Pelodiscus sinensis: one gene and its partner. The protein of the gene in region 1 purifies or fractionates together with the protein of each later gene. This does not show direct contact. Links are inferred from orthologs where the notes say so. Each region holds a gene or a part of one and is shown on either strand. Other genes may lie near its edges. The genes, in order: DRG1 and LRRC41.

The links.
Region 2: the proteins of DRG1 (region 1) and LRRC41 purify together in Homo sapiens (affinity purification with mass spectrometry; 3 studies listed by BioGRID and IntAct, counting the BioPlex papers as one, with this or other methods). This does not show direct contact. The link is inferred for Pelodiscus sinensis from reciprocal best matches to the Homo sapiens genes DRG1 and LRRC41.

Annotation. Positions count from the first base shown.
Region 1 is NC_134725.1:8,320,703-8,336,315, forward strand, and holds the start of DRG1 (developmentally-regulated GTP-binding protein 1), read right to left. Parts: upstream 6,927-15,613; 5' UTR 6,810-6,926; coding exon 6,768-6,809; intron 6,638-6,767; coding exon 6,514-6,637; intron 3,211-6,513; coding exon 3,035-3,210; intron 1,708-3,034; coding exon 1,638-1,707; intron 240-1,637; coding exon 70-239; intron 1-69. UniProt on the Homo sapiens protein: Catalyzes the conversion of GTP to GDP through hydrolysis of the gamma-phosphate bond in GTP. Appears to have an intrinsic GTPase activity that is stimulated by ZC3H15/DFRP1 binding likely by increasing the affinity for the potassium ions.
Region 2 is NC_134719.1:3,145,205-3,161,320, forward strand, and holds the start of LRRC41 (leucine-rich repeat-containing protein 41), read right to left. Parts: upstream 6,355-16,116; 5' UTR 6,266-6,354; coding exon 6,154-6,265; intron 5,641-6,153; exon of another isoform or gene 5,596-5,640; coding exon 5,509-5,595; intron 3,611-5,508; coding exon 3,540-3,610; intron 728-3,539; coding exon 1-727. Other genes in the region: UQCRH (cytochrome b-c1 complex subunit 6, mitochondrial), read left to right, coding at 6,490-6,540, 7,577-7,606, 8,507-8,668, 9,617-9,649; 5-cytosine rRNA methyltransferase NSUN4, read left to right, coding at 14,893-14,988. UniProt on the Homo sapiens protein: Probable substrate recognition component of an ECS (Elongin BC-CUL2/5-SOCS-box protein) E3 ubiquitin ligase complex which mediates the ubiquitination and subsequent proteasomal degradation of target proteins.

The DNA of each region.
Region 1 (15,613 bases):
CATCCTTCTAGAATTAAGCAGCCCTCTGAATCCCCCATCATAACAGCCTGTTGTAATTTTCATACTTACTGTGGCTGTGAGGTTGATGCCGCCTTTATCTTTCTTCTTATAACCAATATTTGGGGGCTTGCTATTCAGCCGTATTCCAAAGCCCTCCAGTTCATTCTCAATTATCTTTTTGTGCCCCAGTGGTTTTAGTACATCCAGAACAATCAGAATGAGGTTACAAGTTCGAGCAACTGAGGATCAGAAAACAAAGTTCCTCCAGTGGGTTAATTCCCAGACCTTTTTTAAAAAGTACAGTACTTCTAGAAAAACAAAAATATCCATCAAAACTGGTGACAAGATGCGATACCATCAGTTGGTTGAATCCTATTTAAGTTGGTAGCAACTGCAATTTAGTTACCACTTAAAGTTCGTTCGGAGGCCTAAAAGAGCAAAATTTCTAGTCTTAGTCTATATCATGATGTTTTCATTATATAAAAGTTTCTGGAGGTAGGTGACAGGAGAGGGATCACATGAGGATTCCCTGTTGTGTTCCCTCCCTCTGGGGCATCTGGCATTGGCCACTGCGGGCAGACAGGACACTGGGCTGGATGGGCTTTTGATCTGACCCAGTCTGGCCATTCTTATGTAAAAGCCATTAAAGGTAAAAAGGCCAGTTAGCTCATATAGCTTGAACTTAAACCTTCCTACCTAATATCCTGGATAGCAAACAGAGGTCAATGACTGAATGGCTTCAGAACTAATCTTTTCACCTCAATACGGCAGTTGGAGAAGCAATGTGGGCGGCAGTTAATTCCAGTATCCCACTTTAACACAATGATTTTTTCTTCACTGCCATTAGCCTGGCATGTGGAGAGAGCAGTAAGTTACTGCATGGCTGAATTTAAGAGGCACGTGTCTTCTGATGAAGACAGTGAGACCCATGAGAACCAATGAGCAGAGCTCAACAAATAATGCAATCTCCTTGCCACGGGCGAGTAGATTGCAACCCGGAAGAGCTGGGTTCGGGCGATCTGCATATGCGCAGAACGATCTGCGCATGCACAGATCGCTGGACAGCACGGCTGGTGAGCGGGGCTCACCACGGTTCAGCGAGCCCTGCCAATGAGGAATAAGTCATGTCACGTTTTTTAAAGCATCACTAGATTTTCTTGGTCAATAACCTATTGGGTTTTGTGCTGCCAGATTAAGTTTAGTAAAATAATATCACCTAATGCAGATGTTAGACTCTAACCTAAAGAATCAAATCGATGAAATAGTCCTGATGTCTACATTTCAACACCTCAAAAAAGGCATAGGAAATAAGTGAGAGAGAAATTAAAAGTTTTGTTTAATGTGAAATTGGGCCTGAATCTGAAACATAGTGCTTCAGGGCAGATACAAAACATCTCAGTATTAGGGTCTGCCCAATCTTCAGGCAATCTAGCCATTCAAGTGGAACACAACCACTTCCCCCCTTTGTCTATGGATTAAATAACTCACTTCACTATAAAAGAAACGAATACTTTCAAGGCATTAGAAATACAGGATTTCCCAAGCCCAGAAAGCAAACTCAAACTGGTGCTTCTCCAGCAGAAATGATAATGGCTATATTGGTGACAGACTGCTTCTTCCAGCCCTATGCCACTCACCTGCAATGACCTGCCGACCTCTGCCTTTCCCATCTTTAGCTCCCTCAATAATTCCCGGGAGATCAAGAAGCTGTGTGTTTAGAGAAGAAGGAAATACATTATGTATGCCTCCCTTGCCACAAAGGAACAAGACCTCATCCCACTTCTAAAGTTAATTGAATCTATTGGGGATCTCAATAGAAGATGACAGAAAAAAATTGTCTCAGAATTTGTTCATGTAGGTACTAAATCATTGCAAAAAACAATGAGGAGTCCTGTGTCATCTTTAAGACTAAGGGTTTTATTTGGGCATAACCTTTTGTGGGCAAATACATACTAACATGGCTATCCCTCTGATACTTACTCACTAATCATGTCACCCCATAGCCTTCTTTTGAGTTCTTTGAGTCTAACACTATTCAATGTTTTTTAATTCTTTATTCATTCTCATAGCTCTTCTCTAAACCCTCAATTAATCAACATCTTTGCTAAATTGTAGCCTAAGTATGTTAGATATTGTGCAAACAAATAGTTCTGTAACTGCATGAATTCTTAGCAGTTGCATGACTATTCAAGAGTCCCCAGGAGCAGGCCCAGCAGCAAAGCCAGTGCACTCCTGACCCCACTCCCAGGGAGCTCCCTGCCACAGAGGCAGCAGTACAGGGTAGAAGAGACAGCAATGCAGGATGGCAAGCAGAATCAGTACGCAAACAAAGACAGTTTCAAAACCAGCTCCCCTTGTGGATCAGCTGCCTGCTGCCCTACATTGCTGCCTCTGATACAGTAGAGAGCTGGCTTGAAAGCTGGTTCCTCACATGTATTGGCTCCAGTCTATCCCCATCCCCACACTCTGTATCAGAAGAAACAAGAAGGGGGGAATGCATGTAATCAACAAGATTAACCGATAAGCCTAGGCTTTCCAGTTAATTGTATAGCTGGCTACACATTCACATCCCTACTATGGGCAACAGAGCTGAATGCAAAATTACAGAAGCAGTTGCACCAGTGCCAATCACAGAGGTAAAAAAACCTCTCTATACCCCTACTTGACATTTCCCATTTATCCATCTGACAATCATATTAGCCCTTTTGGATACAGCATCCCAACTGAAGCTCCTATTCAGCTGATTATCCACAACATCCAAAATTTAATTCCAATTTTGTATTGATGAAATGAAGTATGGAGAGTTGTATTAAATGAATTGTGGAAAAACTCCCCAGCTGTAGAACTTTCCCACTGAAGCACCATGGGCAGTACTGACAAATGTTTAAAGTTAAAACTCAGTAAAAGATGTTTAGAAGTAGCTCCACAAAACATTCCCACATACTACTTTACCTCTAATTTAACAATAGTTTAGATAGTTCAGCTAGTGTCAAAGCCAACTTATACACACCTCGTTTTAGAAAAAGGGTCTCACCTGTATCTTTGCTCCTTTATATCGAATGACTCCTGGCACAGTAGTCAATGTGGTGAACTCATATGCTGCAACTTCAGAATACACACCAGCAAGGTTACTCAGCAGAGTAGATTTTCCCACTGAGGGAAAACCCACAAACCCAATTCGAGCATCACCAGTCTTCGCAACATCAAAACCTACAACATAATAAAAATAAGTGTTAATAATAATAACTAGGGCACTGTGCCCCCTGCTCACTACATTCACCAACCCCCCATTTTCCACTGCAGCTGGATCATGACCTCTCCTCCTACTCATGCCGCAGCAGGAGGGAGGCTGCCACCAGTCCTTCCTGCAGCCAGATAGGGGCTGGACCGCGAGGCCTGTCCAAGGATCAGGCCCAGGAACATGGCCAGAGGGGGGTTGGGCCCCAAATGAGCAGGGTGCTGGCTGGGGGGGAAGGGTTAGGATCAGACTGGGTGCAGGGTGTCTGGCCAGAGGGGGGGGAGCAGGGGAGGATGCAGTAGCAGGCTGGGGGCAGGGGGGCAGGGTGTCTGGCCAAGTAGATGGGTCAGGAGCCAACACAAGGGCAGGAGAAAGCTGAGGGTAGGGTATCTAGTCAGGGAGGGGAAGGGACAGGAGCAGTCTGGGGCAGCAGTAGGGGGGAAGAGTGCATCAGGCACTGGGAATGCAGGGTCTGTGTACAAGGGGCTGTGGAAGCACTTGCTTCTTTTCATGCCACAGCCGCTCCCAGGCATTAGAGGCTTTCCCTGCTGCACAAATGGGGAAGTCACTGCCACTTCCCTCGGGCTGACACCCATCTGGTGCTCCAGCTTCATGGGCCCCCTCACAAGATTAGAGCACTAGTGCCTGCTTTCTGGGGAGGGAAGAACACCCCAAGGCTTAACCCCAACCTTCAGTGCATTCTCCTCCCCTTTCCTCCTGCAGGCAGCCAGCTGTGCTGAGGCTCTAATTTTGCACTGGAAGGGAAAGGGGGAGAATGACACTGGAGCACTAGGCAGATGAGGGAGGTGGCGGCTCAAGCTCCTGGCCCAAGGAAGATGGCAGCAGTGGTTTGCCTCGAGGCCCCGGACCCAAAAATATAAGTGGGGCCAGGGGTGGCTGCCACCTCTGCTGCTTCCTGACCCTCCTGCAGTGGAGCCAAGGGCCAGCAGGGAGCTCAAAGTGCACCCTAAGGAGCTGCCAGAGGGGGAACCGGGGCCGGGAGGAAGTAGGGGAGAGAGATGCAGAGTGACATGCTGACAACCACTCTGTCATCCCCAGGAACATTTTTATACTTATATCTGTCAATAGAGAGAGAAATTAACAAAAAGCAAATTCAAAGAATGTCTAGTTTTTGGAGAGGAGACCCATTCATATTAGGGATGTAAGAGACTAGTCAATAATCAGATAAGCAGAAGCTTATAGGATTATTAACCAGTGATGCAACTAGTTGCTTCCCTCACTCCCTTGATATCTCTATCAGAGAGAGGCAGAAAGATGAGGGGGAAGGAACAGCAGCTGGTGGAAGCCAGCTTAAAAGCCAGTTCCCCTCAGCATGGTCTCTGCAGGAGGCAGGGGAGAGAGAGGCACAGCAGAAAACAGGACTGGCAGGCTATTCAGAAGAAGGTCAGAGTACTGATTCTGAGCAATGTATCTGAGGTGGGCTACACTTTCCCATTTAAAAATGAGGCGGTCCAGCAAGGTGCTTCATTAACTGCCACCACCCCAGTTTCTGCAAACGCAGCAATTTCCCTAACCCAGGGGTCACCAACCAGTAGATCAGGATCTATTGGTAGATCTTGGCGCGTATGGCGGTGATCTTACTGGTTTGGCCAAGAGACTACCAAGTGCAGCACTTCAGTTGCCCCTCTCCCCACTGCCATTCTGCTCCTGCCCTCCCCCTTAGAGCTTCCCCCAAGAGCCTCCTGCTGGCTGTGCAGGGAAGCAGAAGAGGGGAGAACTGATGCCAGGATGTCATCTTCCCTCCACATTTGTACCCAGTATCCACAGATGAGCAAGGCAGGGCCTTGAAGAAGGGGTGGGGAAGGAGGTAGGACAAATTTGGCTATTTTGAGTTTCCTTGTCCTCTAATCTGAACTCCAGTCATCTGAAGAAGTGGGCTGTGCCCATGAAAGCTCATGATTCCATCTACACATTTTGTTAGTCTATAAAGTGCTACCAGACCATTTGCTGACTTAGATAGAAAAAGTGATCTTGTGCTTACAAAGGCTGCCACTGCCCTAACCCCTCCCTGAATAAAAGTGTCAGAGGAGTGCAGCTGAGTTAGTCTGTAACTGGACAAAAACTTACAAAACAAGGAACAGCCCCGCAGCACCTCAGAGACTCACGAAACAGCTGGTGTCAGGAGCTTTGGTGGGGCAGCCTCCTTCTCCTGCCGAAAGCACTCCACCCGGGCGCTTGGGGAGTCGCTGCGGTGCTGCAGGACTCCTCCCGTGTGTGTGAGCGTCTCCCTCCACGAAGGGCCACGGACAAGTGCTTCAGGGTGGGTTGCAGACCCGGACACACTCGCTCGTCGCCGCCAGTGTGAGGCCGCCCCCGGCCAGCGAGGCCACATGCCCCGCCCCTCCCCCCAGGGCCGTGCCACGGCAAGTGCGTGTAGTCACAACACGGCCCTCTGAAGCCAGCCCATGGCGCGTGCCAGCTGGCAACGGAACAGCGAAGCCACCGGGACGCAGCGGGGAGGGGAAGGGGGGGCGAGTCGGGACCGGGCGCGGCGGGGGGGGGGGGGTGGGGGGAGCGATCCGGGACCGGGCGCGGCGGGGGGGGGGGTGGGGGGAGCGATCCGGGACCGGGCGCGGCGGGGGGGGGGGTGGGGGGAGCGATCCGGGACCGGGCGCGGCGGGGGGGGAGGGGGGAGCGATCCGGGACCGGGCGCGGCGGGGGGGGAGGGGGGAGCGATCCGGGACCGGGCGCGGCGGGGGGGGGGTGGGGGGAGCGATCCGGGACCGGGCGCGGCGGGGGGGGGGGGGGGGGAGCGATCCGGGACCGGGCGCGGCGGGGGGGGGGTGGGGGGAGCGATCCGGGACCGGGCGCGGCGGGGGGGGGGGGGGTGGGGGGAGCGATCCGGGACCGGGCGCGGCGGGGGGGGAGGGGGGAGCGATCCGGGACCGGGCGCGGCGGGGGGGGAGGGGGGAGCGATCCGGGACCGGGCGCGGCGGGGGGGGAGGGGGGAGCGATCCGGGACCGGGCGCGGCGGGGGGGGAGGGGGGAGCGATCCGGGACCGGGCGCGGCGGGGGGGGAGGGGGGAGCGATCCGGGACCGGGCGCGGCGGGGGGGGAGGGGGGAGCGATCCGGGACCGGGCGCGGCGGGGGGGGAGGGGGGAGCGATCCGGGACCGGGCGCGGCGGGGGGGGAGGGGGGAGCGATCCGGGACCGGGCGCGGCGGGGGGGGAGGGGGGAGCGATCCGGGACCGGGCGCGGCGGGGGGGGAGGGGGGAGCGATCCGGGACCGGGCGCGGCGGGGGGGGGGACCCACCTTCTCCGGGGCCGCCGCCGCCGCCGCCTTTGGGGGTGATGAGCTCCCGCCGCAGCTTGGCCAGCCGCGCCTTCAGCAGCCCCAGGTGGTGCGCCGTGGCCTTGTTCTTCTGCGTGCGGGCCATCTGCGGAGCAGCACAGCGCAGCGCTCGCTACTGCCCGCCGCGGAGGCGGCCCCTGCTGCCCCCGCGCCCCCGCCCGCAGGACCCCGCGCGGCCTCGCCCAGCCCGTCGGAGGGGGGGGGAAGCGGGTTACCTCAGCCTCGATCTCCGCGATCTTGGCCAACGTCCCGCTCATGTTGGCGACGCTCCCTCGCGCGCGCGACCAGGCCGCAGCGACCCCGGCGTTCCTCCGCGGGCCCCGCACTGCGCAGGCGCCCGGCGAAACCGCGCGAGAGGAGGCAAGCCTCGCGGGGCTTTCCCCGCGGCACAGAAGGCGGCTACGTCAGTGTCCAAGCCACGCCCCCCCGGCGAGCCCCGCCCGCGCAGGAAACTGCGCCCTCAGCCCGCCCGAGGAGGACGCGTCCCAATGTCACGGGGCTAGCCGGCACCCTAGCGCCCCCTAGGACTCAGCGCCGCCTGGCGGGGCAGCCGGGCCCGCAGCGCTGCCTGCACCGCGGGGGACACACCCCATCGCAGCCCTGCAGGGAGCTGCCCCGCGGCTGCTGTGCTTGGCCCGGCCGCAGCCTCCGCCTTGGTGCCTTGGCTCGGCAGCCCGCTGGTTGCAGCAATTCAAATCCGTCCCGGGGTTTCCTCTCCTCTGCCCCATAGGGGGGCTGCGGGGCGCCCCAAAGAATGAAGTGTGGTTCAGACTACGGGCTGCACCGCCCTGCTCCGGCACTGGGCCACGGACAGTGCTGGGCCACAGAGCCCAGGGATAGGGGAGGGTGGCCATTTTGGCAGGAGCCCCTTAGCACGAGGGGGGAGTGGGCGGCGCAGCTCTGGCCCCAGGATAGGGATGTTAAACATCGATTAATAGCGGCGAGGAGTCCTGTGGCACCTTATAGACTAACTGAAGTGTTGGAGCATAAGCTTTCGTGGGCAAAGACCCACTTCGTCAGATGCACATAGTGGAAATTTCCAGAGGCAGGTATAAATATGCAGGCCAGGATCAGGCTGGAGATGAGAGGTGGATCCAATCAAGGAGGATGAGGCCCACTTCTAGTAGCTGATCTAGAATCAGCTACTAGAAGTGGCTAAACAATCAACTCTGGATTAAACAAAGACTGTGAATGGCTTGCTAACTACAAAAGCAGCTTCTGCTCTCTTGGAATTCGCACCTCCAGATCAGCTGCTAGAAGTGGGCCTCGTCCTCCTGATTGGATCCACCTCATCATCTCCAGTCTGATCCTGGCCTGCATATTTATAGCTGCCTCTGGAAATTTCCACTACATGCATCTCACGAAGTGGGTCTTTGCCCATGAATGCTTATGCTCTAACACTTTGGTTAGTCTATAAGGTGCCACAGGACTCCTCGCCGCTTTTGCAGATTCAGACTAACACAGCTACCCCTCTGATAATTGATTAATAGAAGGGTCTATTATCCTCGTGAATTTTTATCGGTTAGTTGATTATTCCATAGTCCACAGGTAGCCCCTGTTGGGGGAAGGGGGAGGTGTGAGCTCCCCAACCCAACATGAGCTGGGCTGCCTGCCTGCCTGGCTCCTAATACACTTTAGATGCAGAGCCATATCAGGGGTAGGTCCAGTGCCCAGTGCATAGACTCATAGACTTTAAGGTCAGAAGGGACCATTATGATCATCTAGTCTGACCCCCTGCACAGTGCAGGCCACAGAATCTCACCCACCCCTCTTAGAATAATCCTCTCACCTATATCAAAGATATGTGCCCAATGCTACAGAGGAAGGCGAAAAACCTCCAGGGCCTCTGCCAATCTACCCTGGAGGAAAATTCCTTCCCGACCCCAAATATGGCAATCAGCTAAACCCTGAGCATGTGGGCAAGACTCACCAGCCAGACACTCAGAAAGTTCCCTATAGCAACTCCTATCATCCCTCCATTGACCTATTTCAAACTGATAATGAATGGTCAATTAGTTACCAAGATCCCGTTATTTCATCCAACCATCCCCTTATCATAGAATCATAGAACCAAGTCCAGCCCCCCGCTCTAGGCAGGACCAATCCCATCTAAATCAACCCGGCCAGGGCTTTGTCAAGCAGAGACTTAAATACCTCTAGGGATGGAGACTCCACTACTTCCCTAGGTAACCCATTCCAATGCTTCACTACCCTTCTAGTAAAATAGTTTTTCCTAATATCCAATCTGGACCTCTCCCACCACAACTTGAGACCATTGCTCCTTGTTCTGCCATCTGAGAACAGCCTCTCTCCATCCTCTTTGGAACCTCCCTTCAGGAAGTTGAAGGCTGCTATCAAATCCCCCCTCACTCTTTGCTTCTGCAGACTAAACAGATCCAAGTCCCTCAGCCTCTCCTCGTAGGTCATATGCTCCAGCCCCCTAATCATTTTGGTTGCCCTCCGCTGGACCCTCTCCAATGCTTCTGCATCCTTTTTGTAGTGGGGGGCCCAGAACTGGACACAATACTCCAGATGTGGCCTCACCAAAGCCGAATAAAGGGGAATAATGACATCTCTGGATCTGCTGGCAATGCTCCTCTTAATGCATCCTAATATGCCATTAGCCTTCTTGGCTACAAGGGCACACTGTTGACTCATATCTAGCTTCTCATCCACTGTAACCCCCAGGTCCTTTTCTGCAGAACTACTACTTAACTGGTTGGTCCCCAGCCTGTAACTATGCTTGGGATTCTTCCGTCCCAAGTGCAGGACTCTACACTTGTCTTTGTTGAATCTCATAAGATTTCTAGTGGCCCAATCCTCCAATTTGTCTAAGTCATTCTGTACCCTATCTCTGCCCTCCAGCGTATCTACCTCTCCCCCTAGCTTAGTGTCATCTGCAAACTTGCTGAGGGTGCAATCTATCCTCTCATCCAGGTCATTGATAAAGATATTGAACAAAACCGGTCCTAGAACCGAACCTTGGGGCACTCCGCTAGAAACCGACCGCCATCCTGACATCGAACCGTTGATCACTACCCGCTGGGCCCGGCCTTCTAGCCATCTTTCTATCCATCTTACCGTCCATTTATCCAATCCACATTCCCTTAACTTGCTGGCAAGAATATTGTGGGAGACCATATCAAAAGCCTTGCTAAAGTCAAGGTATACAACATCCACTGACTTTCCCATGTCCACCGAGCCAGTTACCTCATCATAGAAGCTAATCAGATTGGTCAGGCACGACTTGCCCTTTGTGAATCCATGCTGACTATTCCTGATCACTTTCCTCTCATCCAAGTGTCTCAAAATGGATTCCTTTAGGATCCCTTCCATGATTTTTCCGGGAACTGAGGTAAGACTGACCGGCCTATAGTTCCCTGGATCGTCCTTCTTCCCTTTTTTGAAGATGGGCACTACATTTGCCTTTTTCCAATCATCCGGGATTTCTCCCGATCTCCACAACTTTTCAAAGATAATGGCCAAAGGCTCCTCAATGACATTTGCCAACTCCCTCAGTACCCTCGGGTTCATTAAGTCCGGACCCATGGATTTGTGTACGTTTAGCTTTTCTAAATAGTTCCTAACCTGTTCTTTACCCACCAAGGGCTGTCCATCTTCTTCCCATCTTGCGTCACTTAGCACAGAAGTCCAGGAGCCGACCTTGTCCGTGAATACAGAGGCAAAGAAAGCATTGAGAAACTTCAGATTTCCCCACATCATCTGTCACTAGGTTACCTCCTTCATCCATTAGGGACTGCACACCCTCTCTGATCACCTTCTTCTTGTTGACATGCCTGTAGAAACCTTTCTTGTTATCCTTCACATCCTTAGCCAGTCGCAACTCCATTTGCGCTTTCACCTTCCTGATAACCCCCCAGCATTCTCGAACTATTCATTTAAACTCCTTCCTAGTCATTTTTCCAAGTTTCCATTTTCTGTAAGCTTCCTTTTTGTGCTTAAGTTCACCAAGGATTTCCCCTGTAAGCCAATCCGGTCTCCTACCAGGTTTGCCTCTCTTGCTATGCGTCGGGATGGTTTCTTTCTGTGCCTTCAATAAGGCTTCTTTAAAATACTGCCAGCTGTCCTGGACTCCTTTCCCCTTCATGTTAACATCCCAGGGGATTCTTTCCATCAGATCTCTGAGGGAGTCAAAATCTGCTTTTTTGAAGTCCAAGGTGTGTATTTTACTACTCTCTTTCCTTCCTTTGGTCAGGATCCTGAAATCTACCATCTCATGATCACTGCTTCCCAGGTTGTCACCCACCTCTACGTCCCCTATTAGTTCCTCCCTGTTTGTGAGGAGAAGGTCAAGCTGTGCACGGCCCCTGGTTGGATCCTTCAGCACTTGTACCAAGAAGTCGGGACTGAGCCAGGGTCCTGGGCAGCCCTGCTAAAAAATGTCCTGGCAACGTGTGGGGGGAGAGAAATGCATGTAGTCTATAGCATTAACCAATTAACTTTTGCTTATCTATTAATCGACTTTTATACTATAACATCCCTACCCCAAGAAGGCCTGGACAACCAGCATAAGGGCAGCTGGTGCTAACGCCCATTGGCAGCAAGGCCAGAGCTGGAGCCTACACCTGAGCTGATGGCAGCAGGTCTAGGAGCAGACCAGAAGCAGCCGGCAATGGGGAGGGGCTGCGAAGCCAATGGCAGGGGTCTCCCCTGATGCAGCAAATCCCCTTGGTCAGGTCCAACCTGTAGCTGAGGAGACTGTAACTAACATCCTCAGCAGATTACAGGCCCAGGTGGATCTCACAGCATTCAACCAGGAATCAAATGCCAGAAAATTATGACTCTAGGGAAAACGTATTTCTATTTCTGTTGTTGTATTACCCTAGCACCTAGGTACCCTAGTCATAGACTGGAACCCCTCTCTTAGTTATTTCTCTTGCTGCACTTCAAGGCAGTAAAACTATGACAAGTTGTACGAGGAAGATTTCAAGGCTCGATGAGTGAGATTTTAAATGCACACTGTAAAATTTTTTCCATAAAATTGTAATGGTTTTAAAACTACAAAAGGAAGACATTTCCCTCCATCTGAGTGTCAATGTTGGGTTTGTAAATCTTACCAGTAAACAAAAAGATGGACTGTAATGAGCAGTGCGGGCTCTCTGGGCCCCAATGAGGGCCCCTCTTGGCAGAATAACTCTCCCCAGTTTACCAAATAAAGCAGTGGTTCCCAAACACTGGCCACGGCACATCGCCAGGCCACACCCATGGGAGCAGGGCCAAGACAGGGCAGGCAGTGGCCTTACCGGCAGTGGGGCATGGAGGAGGCAGAGCGGAGCCCATGTGGACCGGTATCCCCCAAGGTGGTGGCATAGGTGGAGGCTATAGCTACGGGCTGGGTGCTAGATTTCACCAGCACTTCTTGGAGGGATGTAGACAGGGTGGAGACAAGACCCAGCACTCAATGAGAAGGGCAGGGATATGGGCAGTAGGTTGTGGCTGCCCAACTATTGCCCGCCCTGTACCGTGTCTGGCCCAGCCATGGACTTGGGCACGCAGGTGGCAGCACATGTTGCCATGAGGAACTTCCCCACCACACATGCTCCCAGGCTGGGTGCATGCACGAGCCTGGCCACACAGAGTCCACCGCGCCAAGGAAGCTGCAACCCCCTCCCTGTTATGGTCCTGGCCCCATAGGAGTCCACCATATGGTTGCCACTAATGGTCCTGCTCATGAGATACTCGGCTGGAGGGGTGATAATAACATAAATTTCTTACACTAAGAAATGTAAGTGTTGAGGGGGCTCAAGGCAGGGAATATGGGGGAGTGCAGGAGTCATTGCTGGAGAGTATGAGGGACCTGGGCAAAGGGCTGGGGACAGGAAGTAGGACAGACTGGTAACATTTTATTTGCATTTTAATTATTTGCATAACGAACATGCAATTATTCAAATAAAATGTTACTGATACACCAGAAGTTTGTGAATGGATTTTCTGGTCCACGGTATAAAAAAGATTGGGAACCACTGAAATAAAGTAAGGAAAACTCCACATGGAGAAATGGAGCTTGGACCCTGAGGAATCCCCTTCATAGCTCTCAGTGAGAGCAGGACAGCTTCAGCTAATATGCTATTAAAACAGATCAGGCTGAGTAAATAATAGCTGCTTGGTGGAAGGAAAAGTTACTGCCCCTTTAAGGGAAAGCTCTGAACTATAGATACTTGTTTGGTTTATTGTTTATTGAAAATGTAGTTTTCTAAACAATTCAAGGAACTGAGAACTTTACAAAGAAGGATAGTGTGCTCGCTCTTAAAAGAAAGCTAAAGTGCTACCTAAAAGAGGATTCCTACCCACCTGTTGCCTAATAAATATGTTCTGTGGCTTCTGTAGAGAGGCCTGTGGATCTCTGATACACCACAAGGATTTCATGTTACACAAAAATAGTCGAAAGCATCTCAGGGTGTGTCTCCACAATTCTGATCACATGATACTTCCTGTTCTATTTGAAAAACAAACAAAAAAATAACTCTCCTGAAAACAGAATTTACTGAGACTAACATAACAACCAGCCCTCAGGATCAAAGAATTCCTAGTTCCTTCACTGGGGTAAAACATACAGTTTTCCACTTGGTTCTAAAAATACATTTATTGTATCTAGCTTACTCCTTCCTAGATTTTGATTTAATTAACAAAGTTACTAACACTAGCAAAAGCTCTGTTTAAACTTGTTCCTCGGAGGTAGTTCCTCAAAAATGCTTAGCCCAGACCCTAGACCCCCTATTCTGTGAAAGTCACTAAGCTCTCTTATCTCCAGGGGGAAAAGGCGTTTCCTGACCCTGAGCTGGAACCTTCCTAAATCCTTTCCCAATATGATCGTCTCCTAACAGTAACAGAGGGCAATATTTCAAGCAAGCACCACAAAAATACAGCCTATCCTTTTACAGACTGATAATGGGTTACACAGGGAGTAATACTTTTCTCTTGAATATAATGTCCCCAATAGGAAATATATTTGAATAATGAAATCCAAAGATGATCCTGGAAGACTGAGACACACTTTGGGGAAATGGACAATTGTAAGAATGGAAGTTAGATAATGGGACAACTCGGAAAGTGACTGAGACGTAAACAATTGGGGATTGGATAGTTGGCAATGGACAATTGGAGCATAGTTGGCCTTAGGCCCAGCTTTAAATGTATTTACTAAAACTGGCCAACTGAACCAAAGCAGCCAAACATTCAGAGGATTGCTCTTGGGAAATTCTATGTCACTGTGTGCGTATAGAATTCACAGCCCCTGCAGATTTCTTTGCTTCCCCACAGAAGAGGCAAAGGGAAACTATAAGGGTACACATGATCAATGCCATAACTAGCTAATTTTGCATCTGAGGAAAGAATATAAAATTGCACCTCCTTAGGAAACGGCACCCCTAAGGAGTGGTTGACATTGACAGGAGCGCTGACATTGCGCAAGGCACGAGCGACGATACCTTAGTAGCTCCTGTCTTAAAATAATTAATTTTCTATATTATTTTTCTGCACCCCCCTCAGCTATACGGCTGAGGTAAGTGCGTCACCCACCTCGCCCTTGTTACAGCCCTGCACATGATGCCCCAGGCAAGCAGATTCAAACCTTGACCTCTAGAGCTTAGTGTAGGAGCCTCTACACTACAGGTTGAGCTATAAAGCTAGCTAGCACTCAGCTTAGGCTGTAGTGCTCACTCATATCAGAGACAGCGACAGCAAGAGAGAGAGAATTGTTCCCAGTTTTCTTAGTGAATTCACCAGGAGTATAAAACAGGTATACATTTTTAAGGAGCTTTATTGTCAAGGACAGTATGGCCTTGTAAATGCTTGTGGTGCCTCAGGATGAGGACTGATCTACATGTTTGGACTGATAAAAATTCTTATCAAAATACACTGTATGAACTGTTTGCTACTGACGGTTCTAGAGATGGTCAGTAGCCAATATAAATTGTGAGTCTGAGTCCCCAGAACTCAATTGCCATTCAGCTGAGATGGGAGGGGTTGAGGGATTTCCCCCTGTGCTCCCTACTCCCGTTCTTCATCCGTTGTACTGTAAATTAAATAAATTACCAAAATAAGAGAAACCTACATGATTATATTGTTACCTTCATATATAAAATATGCACAATTTTGCAGAATTGTAAAATATTGTGCACAAAATGTTTAATGTTTGGTGCAGAATTTTTAATTTTTGGATGCAGAATTCCCCCGGGCTTAGAGAATACTATTAGATTACAGAGACAATGTAATGGGGCCATTGAAAAGGTGGGAGACTGGGAACAGGCAGGGCTGAATGTTAACAACAACTAGATAGTATCAGGAGCACAATATTACGGATGTGAAGAAAGAAAAGCGGAGCAAAGAAAGCAATAGAATCTGGGAGAAAATGAGAGAAAGTCAGAAAGACACTGAGAAATCCACCTGAAAGTCTGACTGAGACTCATTTATCACCTTGCGCTGATGAGTGGTGGAGGATGACAGCTGCGGTATTATCTGCCTTTTTATTTTTTGTAATAGAAAAACAACTTTTTTTGTTTGTGCTGAAAAAATTCTGTTCCCTAAGGCCGTGAGTGTTAATGAATGTAAATAGGTTTAGGGTGATATTCCAACCACTGAGGTAATTACGTAACATGATCAACCTCTTAAATTGACCCAATGCCCAAACGTGTGACACAATTAGGGATTAAAACCCAAAACAGGAGACAAAAAATAAATATCTTTAAGATAGTAGAAAGCAGAGTGTATAAATCAATTACCCAAAACTGTTTGTGGTGTTGTTGCAGCTCTGTTGGTCCCATGACTCAGGATATGAGCGACTCAAGACAAGATGAGGGATAATTTTTACTGGACCAGCTTCAGTTGGTGGAAGGGAAAGCTCTCAAACTCCTGAAAGTTTTTTTTTTTTTCAGATCTAAAGAAAGTAACCAGAGTGCACAACGAATACAAGGTTCTCTCATCAAACTTATCAATAATATAAGATAATGAACACAAAATACCACAAGGTGGCGTAGGAGGGGACCAAATTTGTATCTGAAATAACAAATGTCCTCCTCAAACAGTTGAGAGGTATTACCTG
Region 2 (16,116 bases), on another chromosome or scaffold:
GGCTCCTCGAGCCACAGAGCACTGGGGTTTTAACAGTGCAACTACTGCTCCTGGACAGTTCGGTAGAAGCGTGAGAGTCAGGATCAGCTTCTAGAAGCAGTTTGGGTGAAACAAATTGGACTGTCTTGCTTCTGGTCTCACGATCACCCCCCTGGCCTGGCTCTGATTGCTGGCCTGGCTCTGACTGCTGGGTGGATCCGCAGCACAGCTGGTTTGACCTGAACAGGGCATCATCCTCTTGAGTTAACAGGCTTTGGGCACCAGACTCCTCTCTGCAAAGACTGCAAGGGCGGCCCTGGTCCACAAGTGTCCTACCTGGGTGCCAAAACCCAGCACTCATGGTCAGAATGAGGACTAAAAGTATTTTGTCGGGAACAGGCCAGGAACACATGGACACCTGGCTGACCGCTCCATGGTGGATCAGACGATGGAGCAGCAAGCTCAGGGACTGTCTAATGGACAGATCAGAGGTCAGCAGATGACGGAATTTCAAGGTTCTCAGGGAGCTGGCCAGGTTTTCTAGCACTCTTTGGTTGGGCTGAGCAGTGAGCTCTGCTACCCCCTGCAGCATATTGCAGATGGTGAGCTGTGTAACATGCCGGGAGCTGAGGAGTAGGGGCGAAAACCGCTGGTCACTCAGGCGCTGATCTGAAGAAACATCCAAAACTCCATGCAGGACATTCGAGAAGAAAGTTTCAAGGAATTTCTTCCTCCAGCTTGCTATGTTCTGTAAAAATATCCCAGAGTTAATGGACTGTATCCTCATTTAAACAAGGTCACAGTGGGAAAGAGGGAGATGGAGGGGTGGTTGTTCACCTTCGGATGCCAATCCAGATTCCGTCCAGGTCAATAAGTTGTTATCCTCTGACAAGTATTTAGTGGATTCAGTCATTTCACAAAAACCACCATTGCCACTTGTTGCTTTTAAAGTGACAGACTACCACGGCTACGCCTCTGAGATTTTGTAACCACTTTCCCAGATATCGGTCTCAGGCTATGTCTAGACTGCATCCCTCTGTCAGCAGAGGGATGCAGTCTAGACATACCCTCAGCAGAGATCAAGGAATTGAATGTGCCAGGGAGACTGAAATACAGTCTGACCCCCAACAAGCAGTTCCTTCAGGAATGTTTGGGGGGACAGTGGTGGCTAACAAGCTCCTAATGCCACAGCCTGTGCTACATGGATTCTGTGCTGCACGCCAGCATTTGACATTCTGAAAGGTACTGGAATCCATCTTAACTAAAATCAGGAGGGCTCGGTATGTCAGAATGGGAAGTCCAGACACCAATGGCTTATTCCCGAGGGCTGTGTCTAGACTGGCGAGTTTTTCTGCAAAAGCAGCTGCTTTTGTGGAAAAACTTGCCAGCTGTCTACACTGGCTGCTTGAATTTCCACAAGAACACTGACTTCCTACTGTCTGAAATAAGTGCTTCTTGCGCAAATACTATGCTGCTCCCGTTTGGGCAAAAGTCCCTTTTGCGCAAGACGGCCAGTGTAGACAGCACAATACTGTTTTGCGCAAAAAAGCCCCTATCGTGAAAACGGCGATTGGGGCTTTCTTGCACAAAACCGCATCTAGATTGGCACGGACGTTTTTCTGCAAAAAGTGCTAGATTTTGCCAACTCTGCCCCACGACTCAGAATGCACCTGCTTGCTCTCCAGCCCAATATATTAAGCCCTCAAAGTGCTATAGCAGCCTCCTGGATGAAAAGATCTAGCTAAGTACCAAATAAGGGATGTAATAGTATAGTCAATTAATCGGTAAGCAAAAGCTTATCAGTTAATGCTATAGACTACACACATTTCTGCCCTGCCTCCGCCGTCGGCCAGTAAATTTTTTTAGCAGGTTGGCCAGCAGCCTGGCTCAATTCCAGCTTCTGCTGGGTCCAGGACCTACCCCTGCTGCAGCTCTGCATTTAAAGTGTATTATGAGCTGGGTTGGCAGCTCAACTCAGTTCCAGCTCATGCCAGGTCCAGATACTCAAGACACCCCGTAGACAGGGGCTGCTTCCACCCCGCACGGCTGCCTCTGATACAGTGGGGTGACAGGCAGGCAGTCCACAAGGGAAGCTGTTTTTTAAACTGGCTCCCCTCACAGACCAGCTCCCGCCTGACACCGTGCACTACTGCCTCTGATACAGTAAATGATCTGGAGAAAGGGGTAAGCAGTGAGGTGGTAAAATTTGTGGATGATACCAAACTGTTTAGGATAATCAAGACAGAAGCAGACTCTGAGGGACTCCAAAAAGATCTCACCAAACTGAGTGATCGGGCAACAAAATAGCAAATGAAATTTAACATGGATAAGTGTAAAGTAATGCACATCGGGAAAAAGAACCCCAACTATACGTACAGTATGAAGGGGGCTAATTTGGCTACGACAAATCAGGAAAGGGATCTTGGAGTTATCGTGGACAGTTCTCTGAAAACTTCCACACAGTGTGCAGCAGCGGTCAAAAAGGCAAATAGGATGCTAGGAATTATTAGGAAAGGGATAGAAAATAAGACACAGAATATCTTACTGGCCCTGTATAAAACTATGGTACGCCCACATCTTGAATACTGTGTACAGATGTGGTCTCCTCACCTCAAAAAAGATATTTTGGCCTTGGAAAGGGTTCAAGAAAAGGGCAACTAAAATGATTAGGGATTTGGAACGGGTCCCATATGAGGAGAGGTTAAAGGGACTGGGACTTTTCAGTTTAGAAAAGAGGAGACTGAGGGGGGATATGATAGAGGTCTATAAAATCATGACTGGTGTGGAGAGAGCGGATAAAGAAAAGTTATTTATTAATTCCCATAATAGAAGAACTAGAGGACACCAAATGAAATTAATGGGTAGCAGGTTTAAAACTAATAAAAGAAAGTTCTTCACACAGCGTGTAGTCAACCTGTGGAACTCCTTGCCAGAGGAGGCTGTGAAGGCTAGGACTAGAACAGAGTTTAAAGAGAAGCTAGATAATTTCATGGAGGTTAGGTCCATAAAAGGCTATTAGCCAGGGGATAGAATTGGTGTCCCTGGCCTCTGTACGTCAGAGGCTGGAGAGAGATGGCTGGAGACAAATCGCTTGATCATTGTCTTCGGTTCCACCCTCTCTGGTGCTGGCCACTGTCGGCAGACAGGCTACTGGGCTAGATGGACCTTTGGTCTGACCCAGTACGGCCGTTCTTATGATACAGAGGCAGCAGTGCAGAGTGGCAGGGGGCTCCTTGGGAGTGTGGACGGAGCACACTGGCTGTTGAGCTCCACTCCTGGGGACTCCACAATAGTTGAGTAACTGATAAGAAATCATGAGGTTAACTGACTATGCAATTAACCAATATTTAACATCATTATTTTGAATACCATGGTAACACATGAGTCCCTGATCCTATAGGCATTTATACATGATTAAGTTTAGACACATCAGTAGTCTCACTCAAATCAATGGAATTACTCTCATGCTCAAAGTGAAACAGATGCATAAGCGTTAGCAAGATTGGAGTGTAAACTTTGTGTCCTTACTAAATTGCTTTATCAAAACGTTTCCAACTCACCTCTGACTTGGGTGGTCTGATTTTCATCACATCGTTCCACAGTTTGTGCCATACTGGCTCGGTTGAGAGTCCTGAAAAACAAACTTTTATTTTACATGAAATCCTCCACCTCAACAGCTTTGCTCAACTCTCCTCTCTTGGGTTTCACAGTGATGTTAATTTAACACAAATAAGAATCATAGAATCATAGAATCATAGGACTGGAAGGGACCTCGAGAGGTCATCGAGTCCAGCCCCCCGCCCTCAAGGCAGGACCAAGCTCCACCTACACCATCCCTGACAGATGTCTATCTAACCTGTTCTTAAATATCTCCAGAGAGGGAGATTCCACCACCTCCCTTGGCAATTTATTCCAATGTTTGACCACCCTGACAGTTAGGAATTTTTTCCTAATGTCCAATCTAAACCTCCCCTGCTGCACTTTAAGCCCATTACTCCTTGTCCTGTCCTCAGAAACCAAGAGGAACAAATTTTCTCCTTCCTCCTTGTGACACCCTTTTAGATATTTGAAAACCGCTATCATGTCCCCCCTTAATCTTCTTTTTTCCAAACTAAACAAGCCCAGTTCATGAAGCCTGGCTTCATAGGTCATGTTCTCTAAACCTTTAATCATTCTTGTCGCTCTTCTCTGTACCCTTTCCAATTTCTCCACATCTTTCTTGAAATGTGGCGCCCAGAACTGGACACAGTACTCCAGCTGAGGCCTAACTAGTGCAGAGTAGAGCGGCAGAATGACTTCACGAGTTTTGCTTACAACACACCTGTTGATACAACCTAGAATCATATTTGCTTTTTTTGCAACAGCATCACACTGTTGACTCATATTCAACTTGTGGTCCACTATGACCCCTAGATCCCTTTCCGCCATGCTCCTTCCTAGACAGTCGCTTCCCATCTTGTATGTATGGAACGGATTGTTCCTTCCTAAGTGGAGCACTTTGCATTTCTCTTTATTAAACCTCATCCTGTTTACCTCTGACCATTTCTCTAACTTGCTAAGGTCATTTTGAATTATGTCCCTATCCTCCAAAGAAGTCGCAACCCCACCCAGTTTGGTATCATCTGCAAACTTAATAAGCGTACTCTCTATCCCAATATCTACATCATTGATGAAGATATTGAATAGTACGGGTCCCAAAACAGACCCTTGAGGAACTCCACTTGTTATCCCTTTCCAGCAGGATTTAGAACCGTTAACAACAAGATTAGAAACATGAGTTGTATTTTTGAGACTATTCAGAGCACTAGACTGATATTGATTTAAAATAAGACATTTTATGTTTGCTAGAGGTGCGATGAGGTTAAACTAATTTTTAAAACACATCTCCTACAAAAATAATCTTTTCCCATGTTATATATTACACATATTATTCTTTTAGTTTCGGTAATTAATTAATTATTATAAAGTAATTAAACCTTTTCTGGGCTAATTCCTGTCTTAATATTAGGGATGTAAAATCCCATGTAATTGGTTAACCAGTTAAACATGAAATTTAAGCTGTTAACCTATGGCCGTTCCAGGCCCGCTGCAGACAAAGGCTGCTCCGGACAATATTACAAATTGTTAATATTTTTAGAAAGCCAAAGTTTGGGGTGAAATTTGAATTGATGGTGTCTTTTAAAAACTATACAGTTGGCGATTTTCACTGAATTCTCATCTATTTAAAGAGACTGAATACACCAGATATCTCCAGTCTTTTATATAATTATTTCTCGCCAGCAATGGTCAGCAGTCACTGAAAAACATTATCTTTAATGCTGTTCAGTGTTCCATAAGAAACATGTGGCATTCTAAAATCTAAATCCAGTTCCAATTAAGGAAAGCATCAACCCCCAAAAGCTTCTCATAGCCAATAGTAACTGTTATTCCTTGTTGACAATCTCGACAAAGAGGCCAAGAAGCGAATGGACAATGGAAACCAAACAACCCTTCAACTTCAGAAAATAAATTTCTATAAATAAAACTGACCTTTTTTCACAGCAGTTTCCTCAATCCTTTCCAGGTAATAGATATTAAGCAACGGCAGGATGCCCTGAAGTATCTGTCCTGGGAGTGCTTTGGGGATGGAGGAAGAGAACAGATGCAGAACACTTTATAAGTCTGAAAAGTATGGAAAAGATTTAGAAAGACGACAAAGTAAAACGGAGAGTAAAGTTCCCACTAGGGTAACACCTGGGTACATGCGTTATGGTCACACGAATGTGCATTTTGGAGCTTGCACTTGAAACAGGGACAGGAACCCATCACCACTGTAGCCAGAATGATGCAGTGAAGCTCCACAGCGGAGCCTCCTGGGCATCACACCCTGCTCACCAAGACCCCAGGGTGCCCCGGTGACTTTGGCCCGCACACAGGATGCTCCAAGTGCAGCCTCGCAGATGTCACAGGCCTAGCTCCGGTCCCGCCAGACGCGCTGCCCTGGAGCAGGCCTGCAACCCCCCCCCCCCCCAGCATCCAGACACACTGAAGTTGGGGCATCCCCGCCCCCCCACGTACTGAGACCCCCCCGCCGCCGATCCCTCCCCCTCTGCACTAGAACCGACGTGACCCCCCCCCCACGTACTGGGACAGGCCCAGGACCCCCCCCCCGCCGCAGGCGGGGCCCCCCCTTACCCCAAACCTCTCTCTCCAGGGCGCCCATGGCGGCGCTCACCACCGCCCCGCTCAGCTCGAAGAGACTGGGGGGGCTCCCGGCAGCAGCCTCTCCCTCCGCCCGGGCCTCCATGGCGGGCGCCGCCTTCCCTCAGCCCCGCGCGCTACGGACGGGGCCGCCCAGGGGACAGGAGAGCGCCGGCCCCGCCGCCATCTTGGGGGCGGGGCATTAGAGCCCGGCTTCCGCTTCCGGGTGAGTGAGGGGGTCACGGGGAGGCGGGGCTTCCGGCGGGTGACCCTGGTGAGTCCTTCTTGGCCTGGGAGGGAGCCCGGCCGGCGCGCGGCAGCAGGGCGGCGATGGGGCTGCGGGACGAGGAGATGCTGGAGGGCGGCAGCGGGGATCCTGAGGTAAGGCAGGTCCAGCCCGCTCTGTCCCGGCGGCTGCAGGGCCGGGGTTCGCCCCTGCCCCACCGCGGCCTGGCCCCCGGCACAGCCCTTTGCCCCTTAGCTGTGTCCCCTGCTGGCCCCCGTACCCCTGTCCGCGCGGCCCGCGTGCGGTACAGCCCCTCTCATAACTGTGTCCCCTGCCGGCCCCCGTGCCCCTGTCCGCGCGGCCCGCGTGCGGTACAGCCCCTCATAACTGTGTCCCCTGCCGGCCCCCGTACCCCTGTCCGCGCGGCCCGCGTGCGGTACAGCCCCTCTCATAACTGTGTCCCCTGCCGGCCCCCGTGCCCCTGTCCGCGCGGCCCGCGTGCGGTACAGCCCCTCTCATAACTGTGTCCCCTGCCGGCCCCCGTGCCCCTGTCCGCGCGGCCCGCGTGCGGTACAGCCCTTCTCACAATTGTGTCCCCTGCTGGCCGCCGTATCCCGCTCATTCTTCTCCTCCTTACAATAATTGTGTTCTCTGCCGGCTCCCGTACCCCGCTCCCTGCGGGCGCAGCTTCCCGCTGTCGGGCCCGGAGTGTGAGGGGCGGCTCGGCTCCGTGTCCACCTGCCGGGGGCGGAGCAGCAGCGCAGACCCCCCCCCCGGTCACGCCAGCCCCCCCCGGGCGGGGTCCTGCTGGGGACGCGGAGGCTCCAGGCCACGGTCGCTGCCTTCGGGGCTCCGCGGGGCCTTCGAATCAGAAACAAACCCGGGAACCGCCGCGTGGCTCCGGGCCCGGGATTGGCTCCCCCCGCATCGCGCCCCGCGGCTCCCAGACGTTTCGGCGTCGCGCCCCCGTCTTGAGTTTTGGGGAAAAAGACCCCGCCCCGCCCCCCCCACAACAAAACCCGTTGAGCAAACACAACTGGGGGGGGGGCTGGGTCGCCTCGCGCCCCTCCTGGAACTTCCTCACCCCCCCCCCCCCCCCCAGTTTGGGAGCCCGTGCTGGATGTTACTGAAGGGTTTAAGGCTTTGTGGGGGGCACAGCATCACTGACCGGTGTCTGGTCTCTTCCCCCAGGGAGAGGAGGAGGAAGAGGCCGAGCTCGTGGTAAGAACTACGGAAGCGGAGAAAACTCTTCTACTCGGGGGGATGCAAGAAACACAAACGTGTTAGAATGGGAGTGAGCTGCGCTTGTTGTTTCTGATCAAACAAGCTTGTTCTTTTGGATTTTGTATCTGTTTGTCAGAAGCTGGGAATGGCCCACAGGGGGTGGATGGCTTGATGATTCCCTGTTCTGTTCATTCCCTCTGGGGCACCTGGCATCCTGGGCTGGATGGACCTTTGTTCTGACCCAGTGTGGTCGTTCTTCTGTTAAGCTGATATCAAATTAAAAGAAGAAAAGGGGCTGATGAAAGAAAACACTTGTGGCATTTCATTGTTCTGTGCAGCATACAGGGAACAGAGTAGGCTAATATATAAGGAACTGGTTTTCAGTGAATTTGTAGGTGTACATCTGTGCATACGTTTTTGTACCATGGCTATCAAGATATGCTTAGGCATATCTGGTAGTGTACGCAAAATAAGTGCATGTTATGTTATATGTGCAAATGCATGAGGTGTTTACCAATGTCTGTCTATGAGCTTGCTGATTATCAGGCCTGCCTTATAATGTGTAGGTTATATGGTGATATGTTTTTTCAGTTTGAGAGCTTTAAAAGCTCCTGGCACCACTGCTGGTGGTGGTGCCTTTTTCTTGTCTCTTCTTAGAAGAGGTACAAAGCAGGGGCAATTTGTCCAGCTGAGGATATGCCCCCCAAGGTTAGGGCTTGGATGTGGATGTATAGCATTATATATAAATGTTACTTGTCAGCATACAGTAGAATTTGATTTGGCAATATTGTCTGAACTCTCAAAGCCTAGTCTTTGCATCAAACCACGTAGAATTAATAACTACAGTAGTCGGGGTTATTGGACTTTTTGTTCTCAACCTTTTAACTTGATCTTCAGGATCCTTTAACCACAATAAGGGAGCACTGTGAGCAGACGGAGAAGTGCGTGAAGGCCCGGGAGAAGCTAGAGCTCTGTGATGCGCGAGTGTCCTCAAGGTCCCACACACAGGAGGACTGTACGGAAGAGCTGTTTGACTTTCTGCATGCCAGGGACCACTGTGTAAGTCCAGCAGAGGCTGATCTCTAGTCATTTCTGTTGGCTTGCAATCTTTAATGGGGGCGTGACTGAAATGCCTTATTTCTATAGTACCTAGCTGTTACCTCGCACTCTTCATCAGTAGATATCAAAACACTTTGCAAAGGAGGGCAGTATCATCATCCCCACTCTACAGATTTGGGTAACTGAGGCTCAGAGGTGAAAGTCACCCAGTAAGCCAGTGACTGAGCCAGAATAGAACCAGGTCTCCTGCTTCCTTATCCATCAGGCAGACTACTTATATAAAGCTCTTGATGTTCTAATAAATTTGATTGCAGTATAGGGTGAATAATCTACTGAAGCAAAGTCATGTATTTAATTTTGAAGAACTCTGGACCTTGATTCTATGGGGTCAATTCTTTTCTCTTAACTACTTATTTGTTCTTGGTTTTTTTTTGTTGTTGTTGCAATTGTCTGATTATAACCATTACATTTATAGGACATCTTGTATGAGATAAGAATGCTCTAGGGGAATGGCTGTTTATTGTCAGAGGGCCCTGTGCTGGTTAGTATGCACTGCAGTACAGCTACTAAATACAGGTCATCTCTGAAGCAGGTGGATTAATTTAAAATATTAGCATTTAAGAACATTTGGCTTTACAAAAAATCCTACAAACAGACTGCTAGTTTGTCAGCCTATAGTAATTGGTTTGAAATACACTTTTGAAGCCATCATAAGTTTTTGAAGAAAGGCCAAGGTGGGACCATATTAGATCATTAGAAAATTTTGGATGGTCAAGGGACACACACTTCTCTGTGATTAATCCCCTAATTAAGTTGCCCCAGTTTTAGTCACTCTGATAGGAACACAGACAGGGAAGTGAAGAGCGAATGTGATGTTTGTCCAGTCCTCAAGACATTTATATTCAGTAAATTGGTCCGTTAGTGAAAGTTTTCTTCTTCCCTTTTTAGGTGGCTCACAAACTCTTTAAGAGTCTGAAGTAAATATTGGAGCAAGACTCACCACCTGCCTCTCTTGTTCAGCTGGAACTTGGTGCAGTTTCTTTTTGGATTCCAAGTGCTGCTTGCTGCCTATTGTTGTGAATGTACAGTATACAAGAACAGCTTCCTAGCTGTGCTGCAATGATCCAAGTGCCAACGGGTCACAGCATCAAAGTTCTGTGAAAAAATGCGCAGCTGTAAACAACATCATCTACTGTTTCTGTGGATTTTTTCCCTCCATATTAAACATATTCAAAGTTCCTGTGGAAATGGTTTCATTTTATGGCTGGATGATGATGATTGATATTCATAACCAGACAGGTGGGAGAGGAGGTTTTTTTCCCCTGTTGTAGAATTCCCTTGTGCATAATCATTGTCAGTAGCATGCCATGCCAGGATCAAATAGTTCATATGACCTTCTTGCTTGTTGGCGCTGTCAAGAGATTCTTTCTGAACATAAGAACGGCCGTACTGGGTCAGACCAAAGGTCCTTCTAGCCCAGTATCCTGTCTACCGACAGTGGCCAGCACCAGGTGTCCCAGAGAGGGTGGACCGAAGACAATGATCAAGCGATTTGTCTCCTGCCATCTCTCTCCAGCCTCTGACAAACAGAGGCCAAGGACACCATTTTATCCCCTGGCTAATAGCCTTTTATGGACCTAACCTCCATGAAATTATCTAGCTTCTCTTTAAACTCTATTATAGTCCTAGCCTTCACAGCCTCCTCTGGCAAGGAGTTCCACAGGTTGACAACACGCTGTGTGAAGAAGAACTTTCTTTTATTAGTTTTAAACCTGCTACCCATTAATTTCATTTGGTGTCCTCTAGTTCTTCTATTTAGGGAACTAATAAATAACTTTTCTTTATCTGCCCTCTCCACACCACTCATGATTTTATAGACCTCTATCATATTCCCCCCTCAGTCTCCTCTTTTCTAAACTGAAAAGTCCCAGTTGCTTTAACCTCTCCTCATATGGGACCCGTTCCAAACCCCTAATCATTTTAGTTGCCCTTTTCTGAACCCTTTCCAAGGCCAAAATATCTTTTTTGAGGTGAGGAGACCACATCTGTACACAGTATTCAAGATGTGGGCGTACCATAGTTTTATATTCTGGGCCCTAGTCTTCCTGTATGTGGAGACTAGATTGTAAATCTGTCAGTATCTTGCCTTAATAAAAACATACAAGGTACTTATGTCCCTTCCCCTACAAGAGATGGATGTGCTACCTGCAGACTAACTTAAAGAAAAGAAACATGTGCAATACAAAAGGTTCCCATTGTTTTAAACAGCCCTCTGACTTGAAAACACTGTCCCTGGTATCTGTACTACAGCAAGAATTACAGGCAGAAATCATGTTGGGTATCATGTCCGATAGGCATGTTCAATGCATTGATATAGCAGCATTTTCACCAGCATCTTGTGAATGTAATCACACTGCCCAAATACTTCCTAGCTTCAAGATAAAGGGGTGTTCTTTGCTTCTATCTATACCAGTGTTTCCCAATTGGTGCTGCGGGGAACCCTGGGGTTCCACGAAGCAAAACTAGGGCTTCCGCGAGGAGCCAGCACTCCCCTGCCCCCTCTCAAAGAGAGAAGAGAGCCGGCTAGCCAGCAGAGGCATGGGCAGCCAGTTGTATGGGCTTGTGGTGCTCATGTTCCACCAATATTTAGAGCTGGAGTGGGCCCCGGCCCCCCAGCACGTCCTCCCACCCCAGGCACGTCCCTGCCGTGCCCAACCTTCACTGAGCTCCCCCTTGCCGGCTGCCGCTGCCCTGAGCGGCGTGCTCAAACCGGTGGGTGGGGAGATGCCTGGGAGTGACATAACGTCATGGCCTGGGATTTTAAAACTGCTGGGTGCTGTGTTGCGCCATGTGGCTGAGTTGCGGGTTTGGAGTCTGGGAACAGAGCGCAGAATTCAGCCTCGCAAAGTGGAAGGCAGAAGGAAGGGGAAGGGCTGGGAGAGGAAGGGGCTTGTGCGGGGGGTGGGGGGGAAGAGAGGGGAAGGGTGCAGGAGAGACAAATGCCAAGGGCCAAGTGCAGACAATGAGGAAAAAGGCAAGAGGGGAGGTGTCAGTGGGAGCAGGACAGGGTGATGCTGGGAGGGGAGAAGGTAAGGACATTGGGGGCAAGAGGGGAGAGGGGGAGGTGCTGGGAGAAGGCTTGAAAGAAGGGGTGGGCATGAGGAAGGCCGGGATGGAGCAAGTCATGTGAGAGGGCACAGGGGCATGAGGGGAATGGGGACAGAGGGTGGTGGTGGGTGGGCATCAGGGAAAAAGGGAGCAAAGGGGGTGGGGGAAGTGAGGGAAGGGGGAGGCATCAGGAGGGTGCAGGGGTAAGAGAAGGTGCAGGTGTCAAGGGATTCTGGGGGTGAAGCAGAAGGGCAGACACCTGCAGTGGAGGGACCAGCATCAGAGGAGAGAGGCAGGGCAGGCGTGCAGAGGGAGGTGTTAGGAGAGGGGATGAGGAGGCATAGCTCATGATCAGAGTGGGGCTACTGGAGGAGTGGGCACTGAGAGGAGAGAAGGGCTGGTGGAGGGGGCAGGTAGCAGGAAGGCTGAGGGCAGTGAGAAGGGCAGGAGCCAGGACAGCAGAGGAGAGTGAGGAGCTGAGGGGCAGCAGGCACCAGGGGAGCTGATGGAACAAGGGGAGGAGACATGGCAGCAGAGGGGAAAGGTCGAGGTTTATAAGATATTTATTAATAACTTGGGTGCCGCAGTGGCACATCCAACCAAGCCTCATGAACTCAGTACTTGCGAGCTGGGCTTTTGCACAAGAGCATCTATGGCAGTGTGGACGCTCTCTTGCCCAAGAAAGGGCCGATGGCCATTTTAGCCATAGGGCTTTCTTGCGCAAGAAATTCATGTTGCCTGTCCGCACTGGCCTCTTGAGCAAGAACAGTTGCGCAAAAGGGCTTATTCCTAAGCCGGAGCATCATAGTTCTTGCTCAAGAAGCCCTGATTTCATACATGAGATCGTCAGTGTTCTTGTACAAGAATATGCGGCCAGTATAGACAGGAAGCAAGCTTTTGCGCAAGATTGTGCCAGTGTAGACACAGCCAAGGGGAGGGCAGGAGGGAGGCCTCAAGGAAGGGGTGGGGGTGGGGTCTTGGGGAAGGAATGTGATTTTCATGCATTGGTGGGGATTTTCCTCCCCCCCCCCCTCTTTTTTTTTTTTTTTTTGCTTGACAAACCTAGGGGTTCCTTGAAATTCTGAAAAGCTGAACAGGGTTCCTCAGCCAAATAAAATTGGGAAACACTGATCTATACCTTCCCTAAGCTTCGTTGTCTGGGAAAAGGCCAGGCTGATCCCAGTGTCTCCCTAGGTAAATGTGGCTTCCATTGTAGGAACTTAGGGGCCATCTACTTTACTGGGAAGATTGATACTGCTGCTGTCAATCTTCAGGCATTTGATTTAGCAGGCCTAGTGGGGAAATGCTAAGTTGAACACTGAGAGCACCCCTGTTGATGCTGGCACTCCTCACTGTCGCAAAGAGTACAGGAAGTTCATGGGAGCGTTTCTCCTATTGACTTCCTGCAGTGAAGAGGGAACCTTAGCTCGGCTTAAGGTACATACGGGGAGTCAATGTTTCTGTAGCTGGAATTGCATACCTTAAAAGCTGATCTCCCCCACAATGTAGACTTGTACTTCCACATTTTACCTCCTGTCTGGAAGGAACCTGTTCCCTTCTTCCTCACCCTGGCTAAACTAATAAAATAATGACTCTTTAAGGTGCCTCCTGCAGCTATTTGCAGTGCATGATATCAAACAGTGATTTAATTATTAGTCTTATTAACTAATCAGGATGCTTTTACTGTTAATTGTAGTTGATAATACTTGGTCAATCATTTTGCTGTGAGAATAATATATTGTTTAAACTAGAAGATTTACCCAGTGTTGCTCGGGTCCTTAAAGAAGTCTTGTTTTTCTTAATTTATATCGATGCTCTGAGATGGAGATGGAGGGGTTTGGTATGCAGGTTGTCCCAAGGAAAAAGAACAACCGCATCCCTCTGTCACTGCAGCAGCTTGGGGGCAGGCAAGAACAACTCCTGCTGCCCCGGTGGGTTCCCATCCTGGTCCCCATATCTGCCCCCAGATTCCCCAATCCCACCTTCCATGGGTGCTAGTTCTATTCCTCAGGAAGCTAGTAGTGGCTGCCCTCAGGGTGTGGGGGAGGGGGGGAAGACGCCAAACCTCACCCACCACTCGAAGCCTCCTGCTCAGTCACCACCAGCTTCCCCAGCCCTACTTTTCCAGGGTGACAGCTCCATCCCTTGGGAAGCTGGTATTGCTGCCCCCAGGGTGGGCAGGGCTCGAACCCTCAACCAACAGTTCCTTGCTTCATTCCTGTGGTCATTCTGCAGTATGACTCCCTCCTACCAGACCCCTCCTTTTCTGTTTAATGAAAAACAATCGTATTCCAGGCACATCCTGTTGCCCTGGCACAACCATACCCAGACCTTCCCGTAAGTTAGGAGGAGAAGCTTGAAAGAGAAACCTCTGAACTGTCATTCATGCTTCTATTTGACACTTTATGCCTGGGTCTCAACAAAGATGCTAATTACCTTACCCATTACAAAGATAGCTTCCCCAATTATCACCTCTAATAACATTAGCTCACGGACATTAACTTGCCCCGCTCTGTTCTGAAATTTGATTTGTCCTTTTTATATGTGTTCACTTTTTTTGATTGTATCTCTTTGGTATATATGGTCATGCAGATTTTCTTCCACTATTTAATCTGAGGAAGTGGGTCTGGCCCACAAAATAAACCATCATCACCTAATAAACCATCTTGTTAGTCTTCAAAGTGCTGCATAGTCCTGTGTTTTATTTCTCAAAGAGGTAGTAAGGAAGTGATGACTACACAGGACAATAGTAAAGAAAACAAGGAATTCACAGGACCCTGCACAACATTGATGGCTCCTTGAGCAGCTGGGCTACTGCGCCCTGGGTCCCCCTTTTGGGGGTGGGGAAGCAGGCCCAGCCCGGCTAAGGGATGTGCCCAAGGGCAGGCAGCCAGCGGGGGACGAGCTGGAACTGGGGGGCTCTGGCAGGAGACTCCCAAGCTGCTTGGCGGGGATGGGGAGTCCCCAGGGCGGGGCCTCACGCTTGGGGGGAGGAGCCTCAGAGCCGGGCGGGCGGGGCGGGGCGGGGCGGGGGAGGGAACTGACTCCCCGGCGGGGGCCGGAACCTGCCTCGGCGGCCCCAGTTCCCGGCCGGACCCGGCTCAGCAACGCGCACCATGGCGGCGCTCACGGGCCCGGCGCGGCGGCTGCTGCCGGGGGGGCTGGCGGGCCTGGGGCTGCCCCCCCGCCGCTTCCGCTACAAGAAGAAATGGGTGAGAGGGGCGGGGGACCCGCGGCCGCCTGACCCCCCCCTCCCCGGAATCTGCCCCCCCGGAAACGTTCCCCTCCCCCATTGCCCCCCCCCGGAATCTGCCCCCCCCGGAAACGTTCCCCTCCCCCATTGTCCCCCCGGAAGCGTTCCCCTCCGCCACTCCCCCCCCCCCCCGGAATCTGCCCCCCCCCGGAAGCGTTCCCCTCCCCCACTGTCCCCCCGGAATCTGCCCCCCCCCCCGGAAACTTTCCCTTCCCCCACTGCCTCTCCCCGGAACCATTCTCCGCTCCTCCCCCAAATAACCATTCTCCCCTCCCAGGACCCCAAAATCGTTCCCCTCTACTGTTCCCCCTGGAATCTGCGCCCCCCCCCCGGAACCGTTCCCCACCCCCACCCATAACCATTCTCCTCTCCCAGGACCCCAAAATCGTTCCTCTCCCCCACTGCCCCGCTCCTCCGGAATCTGAGCCCCCCCCCCCCGTGATTCTCCCAGAATCGTTCTCCCCTGAATCTGCCCCACCGCCTTTCCCATCCCCCCCAGCAACCGCCCCCAAAACTGTTCCCCACCCCACCAATCTTCTCCCCCAAATCCTTCTCTTCCTCCCATTGACCTCCCCAAAAGCTGCCCCAACCCCCATTATTCACCCACTGAAATTTTTCCATCACAGCCTGGAACTCAGACACAATACGAGAGCCTGCTACTGACCCAGCTTCACGGCTGCCTCACCAACTCCCTGAAATGTTTCCCTTCCCCCCCATCTCCGCTAACCTCCCTCTGTCTCCAAAAATCATTCTGCTCCCCACTATTCCTTCCACTAATTCTCCAAAATCATTTTCTGCCCCCCGCCCCCAACAAACCCCATGTCAATCCCCTGAAATCCTCCTGGCACACCCCTAAATTCAGTCTGCTTTCCACTTGTCTCCTCCACTGCTCCCCCCCAATCCTCCCCTGAAATCATTCCCCCCTACACACTAAACCCTCCTTAATCATTCCTTCACCCATCTGCTAATTCCAGCCACCCAAAATTCTTTCCTCTCCCCTTACCTCTTCCCCCTCACCCCTGTTAACCCCCTCAAAAATCTGTATCCTCAAAAATCTGTATCCTCAAGGGCACAGTGTTGACTCCTA